Notamacropus eugenii: one gene and its partners. The protein of the gene in region 1 purifies or fractionates together with the protein of each later gene. This does not show direct contact. Links are inferred from orthologs where the notes say so. Each region holds a gene or a part of one and is shown on either strand. Other genes may lie near its edges.

What was found.
Region 2: the proteins of STK24 (region 1) and CTTNBP2 purify together in Homo sapiens (affinity purification with mass spectrometry; 3 studies listed by BioGRID and IntAct, with this or other methods). This does not show direct contact. The link is inferred for Notamacropus eugenii from reciprocal best matches to the Homo sapiens genes STK24 and CTTNBP2.
Region 3: the proteins of STK24 (region 1) and PPP2R1B purify together in Homo sapiens (affinity purification with mass spectrometry; 3 studies listed by BioGRID and IntAct, with this or other methods). This does not show direct contact. The link is inferred for Notamacropus eugenii from reciprocal best matches to the Homo sapiens genes STK24 and PPP2R1B.

The regions. Positions count from the first base shown.
Region 1 is NC_092877.1:228,125,437-228,129,184, forward strand, and holds the start of STK24 (serine/threonine-protein kinase 24), read left to right. Parts: upstream 1-1,066; 5' UTR 1,067-1,099; coding exon 1,100-1,165; intron 1,166-3,748. UniProt on the Homo sapiens protein: Serine/threonine-protein kinase that acts on both serine and threonine residues and promotes apoptosis in response to stress stimuli and caspase activation.
Region 2 is NC_092874.1:134,967,013-134,970,760, forward strand, and holds the start of CTTNBP2 (cortactin-binding protein 2), read left to right. Parts: upstream 1-1,500; 5' UTR 1,501-1,550; coding exon 1,551-1,631; intron 1,632-3,748. UniProt on the Homo sapiens protein: Regulates the dendritic spine distribution of CTTN/cortactin in hippocampal neurons, and thus controls dendritic spinogenesis and dendritic spine maintenance.
Region 3 is NC_092876.1:142,472,096-142,475,843, reverse strand, and holds the start of PPP2R1B (serine/threonine-protein phosphatase 2A 65 kDa regulatory subunit A beta isoform), read right to left. Parts: upstream 2,811-3,748; 5' UTR 2,763-2,810; coding exon 2,649-2,762; intron 1,617-2,648; coding exon 1,526-1,616; intron 1,082-1,525; coding exon 981-1,081; intron 1-980. UniProt on the Homo sapiens protein: The PR65 subunit of protein phosphatase 2A serves as a scaffolding molecule to coordinate the assembly of the catalytic subunit and a variable regulatory B subunit.

The DNA of each region.
Region 1 (3,748 bases):
AGGGGGAGGGAGAAAGCGGAGCCGAGCAGGTCCGGACTGGTGCGGCGGGCCGGGCCAGGAGCCCGGGAAGGCGGGGTGCCGGGGGGCGGGGGGTGCTTTTTAAAACCAGCTTTGCAGGCAGAGCTTTTCCAGTATCCAACTTGGAGGAGCTTGTTGTGGAGCCACGGGGGGAGGGAAGCCCAAGGGGACCCTCTGGGACAAATCCGCTTCCACAAGACCCCGGAGAGGAGAGAGGAGGCAGGAGGCGATCCCTGCCGTGGATACAATGTTACTCGCCTCCCCTCCTCGCCTCGGACGCCCCTCAGCAGATTCCAGGACACCATATTTTTTTTTTTTAGTTTGACTTCCTGTTTTCATGGGGTATCGCTTAGCTACCCCTCCGAACTTTATGTCGATACTTTCCAGCATCGTGACCAAAAAGTACGTTTTTTGGAGCAGTTTTTGTCTGGTTGTGAACATTTTTTTGGCCTTTTGACATACAGTGTTTTCCAAAATCTTACTGCAGTTTCAAACTGTACCAAGACTTTTGGGACGCCCTTTATAGTGTCCTCATACCTTTATAAGTTGATGCTATTTTAAATAGCTTCAGAATTATTAGGATATAAAATCTACATCACCGCTCTCCACATATAGACACAAAATATCTTTGTTTTTTTACTATATCAAAGTAATATGTACATGGTGTAATTTTTTCTTAAAATTAACCAACATGGCTTTACAGGTTTACGTAAATAATCTTGGTGACCAGTCTTTTGGGATTCATCCCTGTTCTAAGCAATTTGATGACTTCTGGTCAATAATCTTTCATCTGGCTAGAGAACAACCCCCATGGCACTCTGTACCTTTCTTAGGGGCTTAACATTTTTTCCCTTATGCTTTAGGTTATTTGTGTAATGAACTTAATCTTATTACGTTGTGAGTTTGCTATGGGAAGGCCTAGGCCTTAGGTCAGGAGGATGTCAACTTGTTATAAAAAATATTTTGACAACAATTTTAATATAATTTATTTCCTTTGTAATTCTATGCTGTTGGATTCTTTTTTTTTTCATTTAAAAACATTTTTCTGACAAGGCTTCTTTAGGTTTCACCGGACTGCCAAATGGCAAAAAAAAAAACCAAAACAAAACTCCTCTTGGTAGAAGAAAGAGACCTGATTTTGCGAATGGTAAATCTGAGTTTAAACTTTAATTTTGATACTTAATAGCTGAGTAAGTCATTTAAATTCTTTGGGTCTCAGTTTCTTTATCTGTCAAATCAGAATAAAAATGATGTTTGCTATTTATTTCTCTTGGTACTTGTGAGAAAAACACTTTGAGAACATTAAGGTGTATAACTGTCACTTCTGTCACCATTTCTAAGAACTGTGCCTTGCGTATTAAGGTGCACAGTAAATTTTTGTTGAATTGAGTAAATGGCATTCTTCAAAGTTTTTTTTTAAAGGAAATTAAAAGCCTCATCTCATGAGAGATGCTTTCGTTTTAGGAATTTCAGATTTTTATAAACTTGTACGTGCAATTGAGGATGGCAGCTGCATTTTCAGTTATGTTTTAGCTATGTGCTCTTAGAAATATTAAAGTGAAGGTGGTGATAGTGGATGTTGTGAAATGGGCTTTGAAACTCATGATTCAATGAAATAAAGTAATTATGCTGTTGCAACTAAATAAATAATTAAAAGTGGCTTTTAAAAAATGTTGGTAAAACTCTGTAGTAAAAAAAGAAATCAGTCTCTTGTATATTTGATTTAATTTTGAAAGGTGGCATTGAATGTTACCTAACCAGTGAAACAAGAATGGCATCTTGTAATAAAATTGATCAAGAGGCATTTCGTGTTGACTGGTTTCTCTGTGGCAGTGTCAGAAACCAGACCATCTCCGAACCAATTTTCTCAGATACTTAGGAATTAGATAAGTGGTAAAAGTGGCCCATTTATGTATTAAGTGCTAGATACTAGGGTTTTGTTTGCACAAAGTGGATTGTAATAGGAAATAACTTCTTAGAGACTTGTATACATTGGGGCTTCTAAGTCAGTATAAAATTGTGGGAATCATTTGGGTATCCAGTATCAGCAACTGCTTAAGAGGGATACATTGGTTAAGTATTTTTTTAAAGTGGAAAAAAAAATTTCTTGCCTTGTGTCTTAAGAGCAAACAAGTATACTTTTCTTGGTAACTGTATAGTGAAAAAATTTGTTTTGGGCTTTTGGAAAAAAAAGACTTGAAAAAAATGTCTTGACAGGAAAGTTATCCCAATTTTGCCATGTTCCTAGTGAGTTTAGGGTTGCCAGTGTGATATGAAGGCATCATCTGTGTGCCTTAGAATTTGTTGATACTTCTTACTCTATTTTGGGAAGAAAATAGTAAAATGTTTTCTCTTCATAGTTGGCCCCTTTAGTTTCCCACCATCAACTTTTTCCCCCAATTGAATCAACAACTCCTTAGAAGCTTCATTAAGGAGAGCTAATTTTTTTTTAATAGTCTGGGGAAGTAGATGGTTAAATTAAAGGAGTAGCTGGCAACTTGCCATTACCCAGGCTAGTCTACAATCCTCTATACTACCTATGAGGACTCTCTTCTTCCCCCCCATCTCTATCCTCTGACTAGACTTTGGGTGTAAGGTTTTGGTATAAACTATAGGTAAAAGGAAGAGGAGTAGGTTATTCTTATATTAATTCATTTTGGTCCAGAATTACCCATGGTCTAAACCTGAAATTTGAAAAGTGTGCAATACTAAACACTCCAATTTATTTGCAACATATCTCTATGCAATATTTCTTTTAAAAATGCAATTAAAATACTAAGTGTCTACTGTGATCATTGTACTGTGGGATACAATGATAGGGCAAAAGGGACATAACTTTCTTTTAGATTGTAAACTCTTTGAGGGTTAGAGCCAAATACACAAAGAACTAAGTGTAGCTATACTAAACTATATCACAGCTATGAGCTGTACTTTATTACCGTTATATAGGCTGTGATAAATGCATTGGAGAGGTCAGAAGATTCTGGTAATTGCTACTTTCTGAGGAAATCAGTAAGATTTTTTTGAAGGAAGTGGCATCTGAGCTAGATCTTAGGGAGAAAAGAAAGGCAGACATATGCAAATGAACCACTGTAGGAATAGGGGATAGATGCAGGTTCTATTCCGTTAAGCCAGCCCCTTTGTTAACTACAAAGGTTGTAGAATTCAAGAATGCTATTGGAGAACAGCCAGTAATCCAGTTTGGCCGGAACATAGAGTGCGTTAAGGTCAATAATGTGAAATAAGTGTAGGGTAGTGGAAAGAGTCCCGACATTGGAAGCAGAGAAACCTGTGTTACTTGGACATTAAGGAGCTTTGTAGCCATGAAAAAAATCACTTAGCCTCTCTCAGCTTCAGTTTTCTCATTGTAAAGTGGAGTGATAGTCATATTTCCTACTTAACAAGCTTGTTAGTATCCAGTGAGCGACTGTAGAGAAAGCATTATAAACCTTAAATCTCTCTATAAATGGAAGCTGTCATTATTAAATAATGCTAAAGAGTTAGGTTGCATGTTAGTGTAAGGAGTTTGAGTATGTTTAACGAGGAGACATGAAAGTCTTTGAATCAGGGGAGTGGGGAGGATGATTCTGACCTTGGAATTTTGAAGATGATTTTGACAGCAGAAGATGGGATTTGGAGAGGGGAGATTTCCCTACTGGGAGACAGAACAGTTGAAAGGCTGCTCCATTAGTCCAGGTGAGAAGTATCGAGTACCTTAATCATGGTGGTG
Region 2 (3,748 bases), on another chromosome or scaffold:
ATTTTCTGACTCCGAATTTAGCGCTTTTCCCACAACATCACACTTCCTCTAAAATGTTTAAGAAGTGAGGTAGACCAGTATCTTGTCCCCATGAGAGGACTCTTTGGCTAGGGCTAGAATCACCCGCATCAACAAAAAATTAACATTCATACAACACTGTAAGGTTTAGAAAGCTAATTATCGCATTTTCTATTTAACCAGCACGGACGGTCACACCCTACAATAGTATTATCCCCATTCTACACTTGGAGAAATAGAGACCAAGTAACTACAAATAATACCCTAACAGACACTAGTAAGTGTCTGAGGCAGAACCAGAAAGCTGATGCTCTTGGCATCAAATCTCTACCCAATGCATAATGACAGAAATGGGAAAGACTTTAGAGGGAATTTTTAGATGAGGAAACAGATCTAGGGAAGTACTGGTCCAAGGACACATAGTTTCAAAGTTCGGTTTGAAACACGAGTCTCTTGACTCTGAGCCCAGTGCGCTGTCGGAAGCTGTGTCTAAAGTCTAAGTGATGAAGTGGGATGGGCAGTAGAGGATGGCTGGCTAATCAATGCAGGGGGGAAGCCTCCTGGATATAAAGTCTAAGAACCATGGTTCAAATTCTTCATTTACAGCCCATGACCTTGAACGCGTCACTGCATCTCTGGGCCCTCCTTCTGGATCTGTAGCTTTAAATCACGGTACTATGAATAGGAGACCAGGAGAGAAAATTTCGGTTTAGAATTGGTGGCCCTTGGGAGGAGGGAAAGAGTCGATCCCTTTGAGAGATGGGAGGTTTGACAAGTGACTTTAGCCGAAGGGATAAAAGGAAATTTCCGAAGATGAAAACAAAGCCTTGTCTTTGGGGTAGTGCCGGGCTGGGAAGGGAAGGCGATTACTCCTGACCTCGGTCAGAGTCAGGTTTGGGAGCCCTGAGATCGAGTGTTACCGCTGCGCCGCTGTCCCGTAGGGGGTCCTGTCAGCTTCTGCCCGGTGCCTCAGACTCCCCATCTGCCTCGGGGACAGACCCACGACCTAGAGCCCGGCTTATTCCTAGTCCGTTTCCCTGCAAAGAGAAAGGAGTGAGGGTGTGCTTTGGAAAGACTTGGGCTGTCTTTCAAACTGAGGAGGCGGGTGTACGATCAAGGTCACCCCCCTCTCCAGAGACCCTTCCACCGGGATGCCTGGCGGCGTGGGTTCCTGCAGCCGGAAAGAAGGGAGGCTCGCAGCGCGAGAAAGCGGGGGTGCCCGCCTGCACAGTGCCGCGGGCCCCTCCCTGGCACCCGGGCGCCGCGCTGGGCTGGGCTCCAGCGCACAGCGGGTTAAGGCGCAGCGGGGGCGGGCAGGCAAGGGGAGGAGTGTACCGTGCTTTGCGGGCCGGGGGTGCGGAGCTGGGAGGTGCGCAGAGCGCGGCGCTCCCGACTCCTTCCTCTCCTCTGGGTTAGTCTGTGTGCCCGGCTCTCCGGCGCGCAGGGGGTTAAGCGCCTCCCGTGCAGAGCGAGGGGGCCGAGCTGGGGAGCTGCAGCTCGGTGCTCGCATTCAGATCCGCTAGAGCAGGAAGATGGCGACGGACGGGGCGAACTGCGAGCCCGACTTCTCCCGCCACCCGGAGGACCCGGCGGGAGCCCCGGCAGCGGCGGCGGTAACCGAGCTCCTGGGGCGCGCGCGTTGCAGGCGGTGGTTCGGGGTTCTGGGGCTTAAGGTGGCGGGTACCGCGATCTCCTGGGCTCTGCAACCTTTTTCCCTCCCGGGAATACCTTTCGTCCCCACGCCACACCCCTGCGACTGGAGGGGTGGGGCGGGAGGTGGCCGAGGGCTGCTCCCGACCTTCCCTCGCAGCTGGAAAGCGCCGGGTCCTTTCCTCCTGCCTTCCTCGGCGGGGACTCCCCCCGGGGCACCTCTCCGGAGCCCGCCCCTCTAGCCGCCCTCACCCTTTCCCTCAGCTTACTCTCCTCGGTCCCACCCTCTTTGCACGCCCTCCTCCTCTTCTCCCCCAACCCTTCCCAGTCACCCCAACCCCTGCTGGTTTGGCCGAGGCTGAATTGTGGTGTGTAGCAGCGAACTTGACCCCCTATTGTTTGCATCTCTGCTGAGCGCGTGTTTGTGTGAGTGTGTGTGTGTGTGTGTGTGTGTGTGTGTGTGTGTGTGTGTGTGCGCAGGGGCGAGCCTTCGAGCTGGGCGCTTGTCACTGGCCAGCGATCTCGGAGATTCGGGGAAGGGGAAGAGGATGATGTCTGGTTAGGTGTAGGACAGGTGTGCAGAAGCCTATTGTGTGTTTGAGGATGCTTGCAGATGCCAGTGGGGAAAGTCACCACAGAAATCCACGGGTGCATTGGGCTCGGGGCTGCCAGTGACCGGGCATTGGCACTGCCTTTGACTCCTTGAAACCCCTCCTCACCTCTTCCCATTCCCCCTTTTAGGGTTGTACTGACAGAAGCTGGGGGTGAAGGGGGGGAGAGAAACAGCGACCAACGGAGACTGAGACAGAGACAGGTTCAAGACGAGGTTTTGTAGTTAAATCGCCTTTCTCCCCCCCCCCCCCCCCCCCCATATGCCCCGTGGTACCTGTCCTTCTCCTCCCCCGCCTTCATCTTTGTACCTTGTGGGTGGAAATCAGAGCAGGTGACAAGCCCCTACTGTTGAATAGAGCTGAACTCCACGTAATGGGTGGAAAATGTTTTCAGTATTTAAGGAAACAGCCTGGCTGTTTAAAGCCGCGTGGAGCCTGTTTAAAAAAGAAGGGGGAGAGGGGGGCCGCAGCTCTGCCTGCCTGCCCTTGGCCCTTCTCTTACTTCAGTTATCCAGTGTGGGGTTCTGATGAAGTGAAGGACATCAGAATTTCTGTTAACTCTTCTGTCTTGTACCATACACTTCCTTCTTGATTCTTACTGCTTAAACTGAGCTACATTTCAGTCAAAAGCAGGGGACAGGGCCAAGAGTAAACAGATACAATCTTTTCAACTTTCCCTAGCTAGCCTGCTTAATGTTATTTCCCTCCCTTAGAACCTTACCACTGGTGTAGGGAGAGAAGAAGGAAGGGGTGGGTGGGGGTGAGGGTAACAGGGACCAGGGATGGAGTGCCTCCATGGCCCTAACAAGAACTGAAAGGAGAAATATACAAGAGAAGGGACGATTTAGAAGAGAGCAGTCGGAGAGCTATTGATTTCTACTTCTGCAACTGCTAGATTTGGGTTTCTAGACTTTTAGAAGAATCCCTGTATTGACGTAGGAAATTTGTTTAAAAAGGCATTAAGATTGCCAATGAAATAGTCCAATTTATGATGTGGAAAGAAAACCAGTAGCCGCATGTGAAACACAATCGAGACTGCTTTTAAGCCAGAAAGCAATTGTTTTACTGAAAATGACCAGGAATCTTCCGGTGTGATGATGGATAAGGTAAAGTAGTGAAGGTGAAGATTTTTTTGATCTCCTTGCGTACTTAGAATAGGCTTCTTTGTTATGACTCTGAGGTCTTTAATCATCTACTGAAAGTAAAGCCAAACATAAACACTTGATTATGGACTCTATCTGATTGATATATTAGTTTAGGCCATAAATTCAGATGGTGATGGTTAGGTTGATTTTTCATGATGTTGTTGCTAGTTCTTTTTTTTTATTGTTTAATAATTCACAAAATCCCAGGAGTGGCTTGTGTGTATGTATGTGTGTGAACGTACAATTAGTTTGAGGTTTAATCTTGAGACTAGCCAGAGAAAATCTTAACCTGCTTTTTATTTCCAAAGATTCCTTTAGATTAGA
Region 3 (3,748 bases), on another chromosome or scaffold:
AGCTCATTTTAAAGAAGAGAAAACCAAGGCCAACAGGATTAAATAATTTGTCCAGAGTCACACAACTAGTAAAGTGACTAAGGCTGGATTTAAACTCAGGTCCTCCTAACTCTGCTAGACCAGGCACTCTATCCACTGTGCCACCTAGCTGATCCTATGATAGTTTGCTAAACCCACTCCCTCTCCATATGGCATTTAAGAAGCAATTTGGAAAAGAATACTGTTGATATGTATATATGGAGAAACCTACACCACAATGAAAGCTCACTCATAGGCCATTGTATTCATTAGAATAAGAAAAGCATACATATTTATTAATCTTTACAACAGAGGTGTTAAAAACAAAAAATAATGAAGTTTCCCAGGGTAAATGACACACCTAGGAGAGAACTTGAAATCCCTATTTTTCAGAAACAATTAAATTCAGGTTCCCCATCTTGTGGATTTACAAATAAGTCCATAAGGACTGGTCAAAGAACAGAGAAGAGATTGGCCATGAAGGTCAATTTGCTAAGTCTATAGAACACATACTGTTTATGCTCTCAATGACTGAAATTGTGATCATCTTTGCACAACATGATAATGAATAAACTTTCACTAAAAGTACGTACAACTTTGCAGGTAGGGGGTTGGGGGAGTGGCAGCAATACATCTCCAAATAATACAGCATTTAAACCACAGAGAAGAAAGTGCATGGCATACAAAAGAAAGAGCAGGCCTTGGAACCAGAAAAGCCTGGGTACAAGGCCTGCCTCTAACACATTATGGCTATGTTCCTTAAGCAAATTATTTACCCTCTCAATGCTTTAGGCAAGTCTCTAAGACAAGAAGTTAGGATAAAACATGCTAACCCACATTGATAGAGGGGTTTTCCCTTATCTAGAAGTTCCTTTTACCAAAGAAATCAAAAGTCCAGTCCCTATCCTTATCTCTTAAAATTCAGAAAATATAGAGAGAATAGGTCACACATCACCACTCACCAGGAGACAGTGGGCAAAATCTGGACCTCCTACCAGGACAGTGAAATTTCCCAGCTGTTCAGCAAGAGCCAATAATACCTCATCTTCATCATAAATTGTATCTAAAATAGCAACAATGGGGAATTCATAAACAGAGTTAGGGGACCAACAGCTGAACACTCAAGATGAAACACAAGGGGAAACAAATTAGACATATAAATGGCAACATAGTCAAATTATAATAGTAAGAAAGCCTACTCTTCCTTCTTTCAACAGATACTACCTAGAATCTCTCCTACAGAACTGAGTTAGGAAACTGCTCAACCTCCTTTCCTGTGTCATGTAAATATTTTTTCTACTTGCTTAATATGTCCGTAATATTTCTGTCCATATTATTATATTCTGATTTGGACCAAGGCAGATGGTGTTGTCTTTCTATACCACTTTACTCACACGACTATTCAGTAATGCTGTTAGTAACGTAGCCTATGAAATGGCTAAATCAATAAACAAATGCTACAAAAACTAAAAATCCCACACTTTCTAAGAAAACAGAATTAACATACCAGTAAGAAATGGCAGCAGTTCAGTTCTTGTTCTCTCTACTCCAAGAGCTAAAGCAATTGTTGATAACTTCTTAATACTGTTGAGTCTTAGCTATCAAAAAAAAAAAAATCATATGGAGATGCAAGGGGCAAATCAGTACAAAGCAGACAAAGTGCAAATCTAAAAGAAAAGTGCTAAATGGACAAGTGATGGCAAGGAAGACAAATAAAATTTAAATTTCTAATTTAGATTTCTCAGAGAAGATGATGTAGCATGGAAGGCTTCCAGAAGTCAGGTTAACCTAACCATATAAACAAGAGAAGATTCCTCAAGTTGAGCAGTCATACTTTTTTGGGAAAATACAATAAAAATGAAAGAAAGCCTGACAAGTGAAAGAATTTTTAACAGGAAAGAGAATGCTGACAGGAGTGTGGTGGGCAAGAATAAACTGGAGGATAATTGTTGTCATTTTCCTTTTTAACCTGAAAATACACATTTCATTTCGCTTAATCATGCATCCCTCCTTCCACCCAACCGGCTTTTCCATGTGCAAACCTTGGACATATTTCAACTCTACAACTCCAAGGACCCCTGGGCATCCTGTTAATTAAACCTCGGCCCAGCATTTACTTAGCGTAGGGGGAAGAGGAGAAATTAGGGGCGCGGTGGAACTGGGACAAGACCTGAAGGGAAACCCCTGGGGGGCGGGGAGGGGGGAAGGAAGCACCCCGATCAGAAATCCCGACCCCCCCCCCCCCACTGATACTAAAGGGTTTTTTTCTTCTTAAGCTAGGGCTAACGCGGCCCAGTTTCTCCCGGGGCTGACGGGGTTTGTTTCCACAGACCAGCCCCCACGAGGCGTCAAAGAAATTGGGAAGCGTCTTCCTCGGAAGCCGCGGGCCCAGCCCGGGCTGGGCCCCGAGACTCGGAAGAACCTCTGCGGGGTCAGGGCTGAGCCCCAGCGTGTGTAGGGGTAACTCTGGGGCAGGTTCTGGTCTCCCCCGGGTTCCTGGCCGACCTGGCCCGGCCTCAGGCCGGCTGCTACCCCCCCACCCCAGTCACTGGGCCTTCCTGCCTCAGTCCTACCTCCCCCCGTCTCCCCATCGCCGGCCCGGACTCAGGTGCCCGCTTCGGCCCCACTACCTGCACATCCTCATTCCGGAGCTCGTCGATCAAAACCGCGATGGGGTACAGCGAGTCGTCTCCGTCTCCGCCCGCGGCGCCAGGACCGCTCCCGGGCCCCGCGGCACCCGCCATGTTCTTCCCCCGGCTGCTACCGCCACCGCCGCGGCCGCCTCCTGCTCAGAGCGTCGCCCCGCCCCACGCACGCACGCACGCACGCACACGCTTGCACGTCGCCCCGGGCTGCGACCCACACACGGCGTGCGCGTGCGTCGGAGCCGTTTACTGCTTTCGTGATCCTTCGGGAGCGTGAAGATGCCTCTCGACGCCCGGGCTTCGGGCCCAGAGGGGTTCGGACGAGCGCGTCTGAGCTTTACAAGGGGGTCGGAGGAGGGCCCTCGCCCGCTTGTGGTCTCACGAGGGCTGTGCCCGGCGAGGCCCGGAGGACGGAGGCCCCGCTGCCCCTTCCCTCTTGCCCAGCCAGCAGGCCAGGCCCTTCTCCGTGAGTTCTCCGCTCCTCCTCCCCTCCCCGGCACCCCAGGGAGCAGGGCCCGGCCTAGGGCCCGTCCTTCAGCAGCTCCCGTACAGCTAGCGTGCACTGCTGGAAAACAAGGAGTGACCGGAGGAGGACGGCGCAGAGCCGGCCGGACCCTGCACTCGGTATTTATTCCGGTGCCCCCGGGCAAGCCGGGAAAAGCTCGCTGCCCCCTTGGGGTTGTGTTCCTTTTCCATCTCGGGCCTGAAATTGTGCCTGCTCTACGCTTTTCTCCCCCCGGCCCTTATTCCTGAATTAAATTAAACCGACATATATAAAGACGTTCCTCTGTACCGCACGCCGCGCTGGGTGTTAAGGATACCACAACGGAAGTGAAACAATATTAAGTACCTACCGTGTGCCAGGCACGAAGTTAAACGCCGGAGGTGCAGATAAAAACTAAAAACCAGTGCCAGTGCTCCTGGAGGCCCCCATCCAAAGGAGCTGCCTTCGCGGAGCCCCTGCCTTCAGGAGCTTGTCGTCTGCGGGGGCGGGAGGGGGGACGGGGCATGACCTCTGTGTACAAGCAGCACAAGGTCAGAACTTTGGCGGAAGCATCGATTCTAAGGGATGAAAGTGGAAAGGG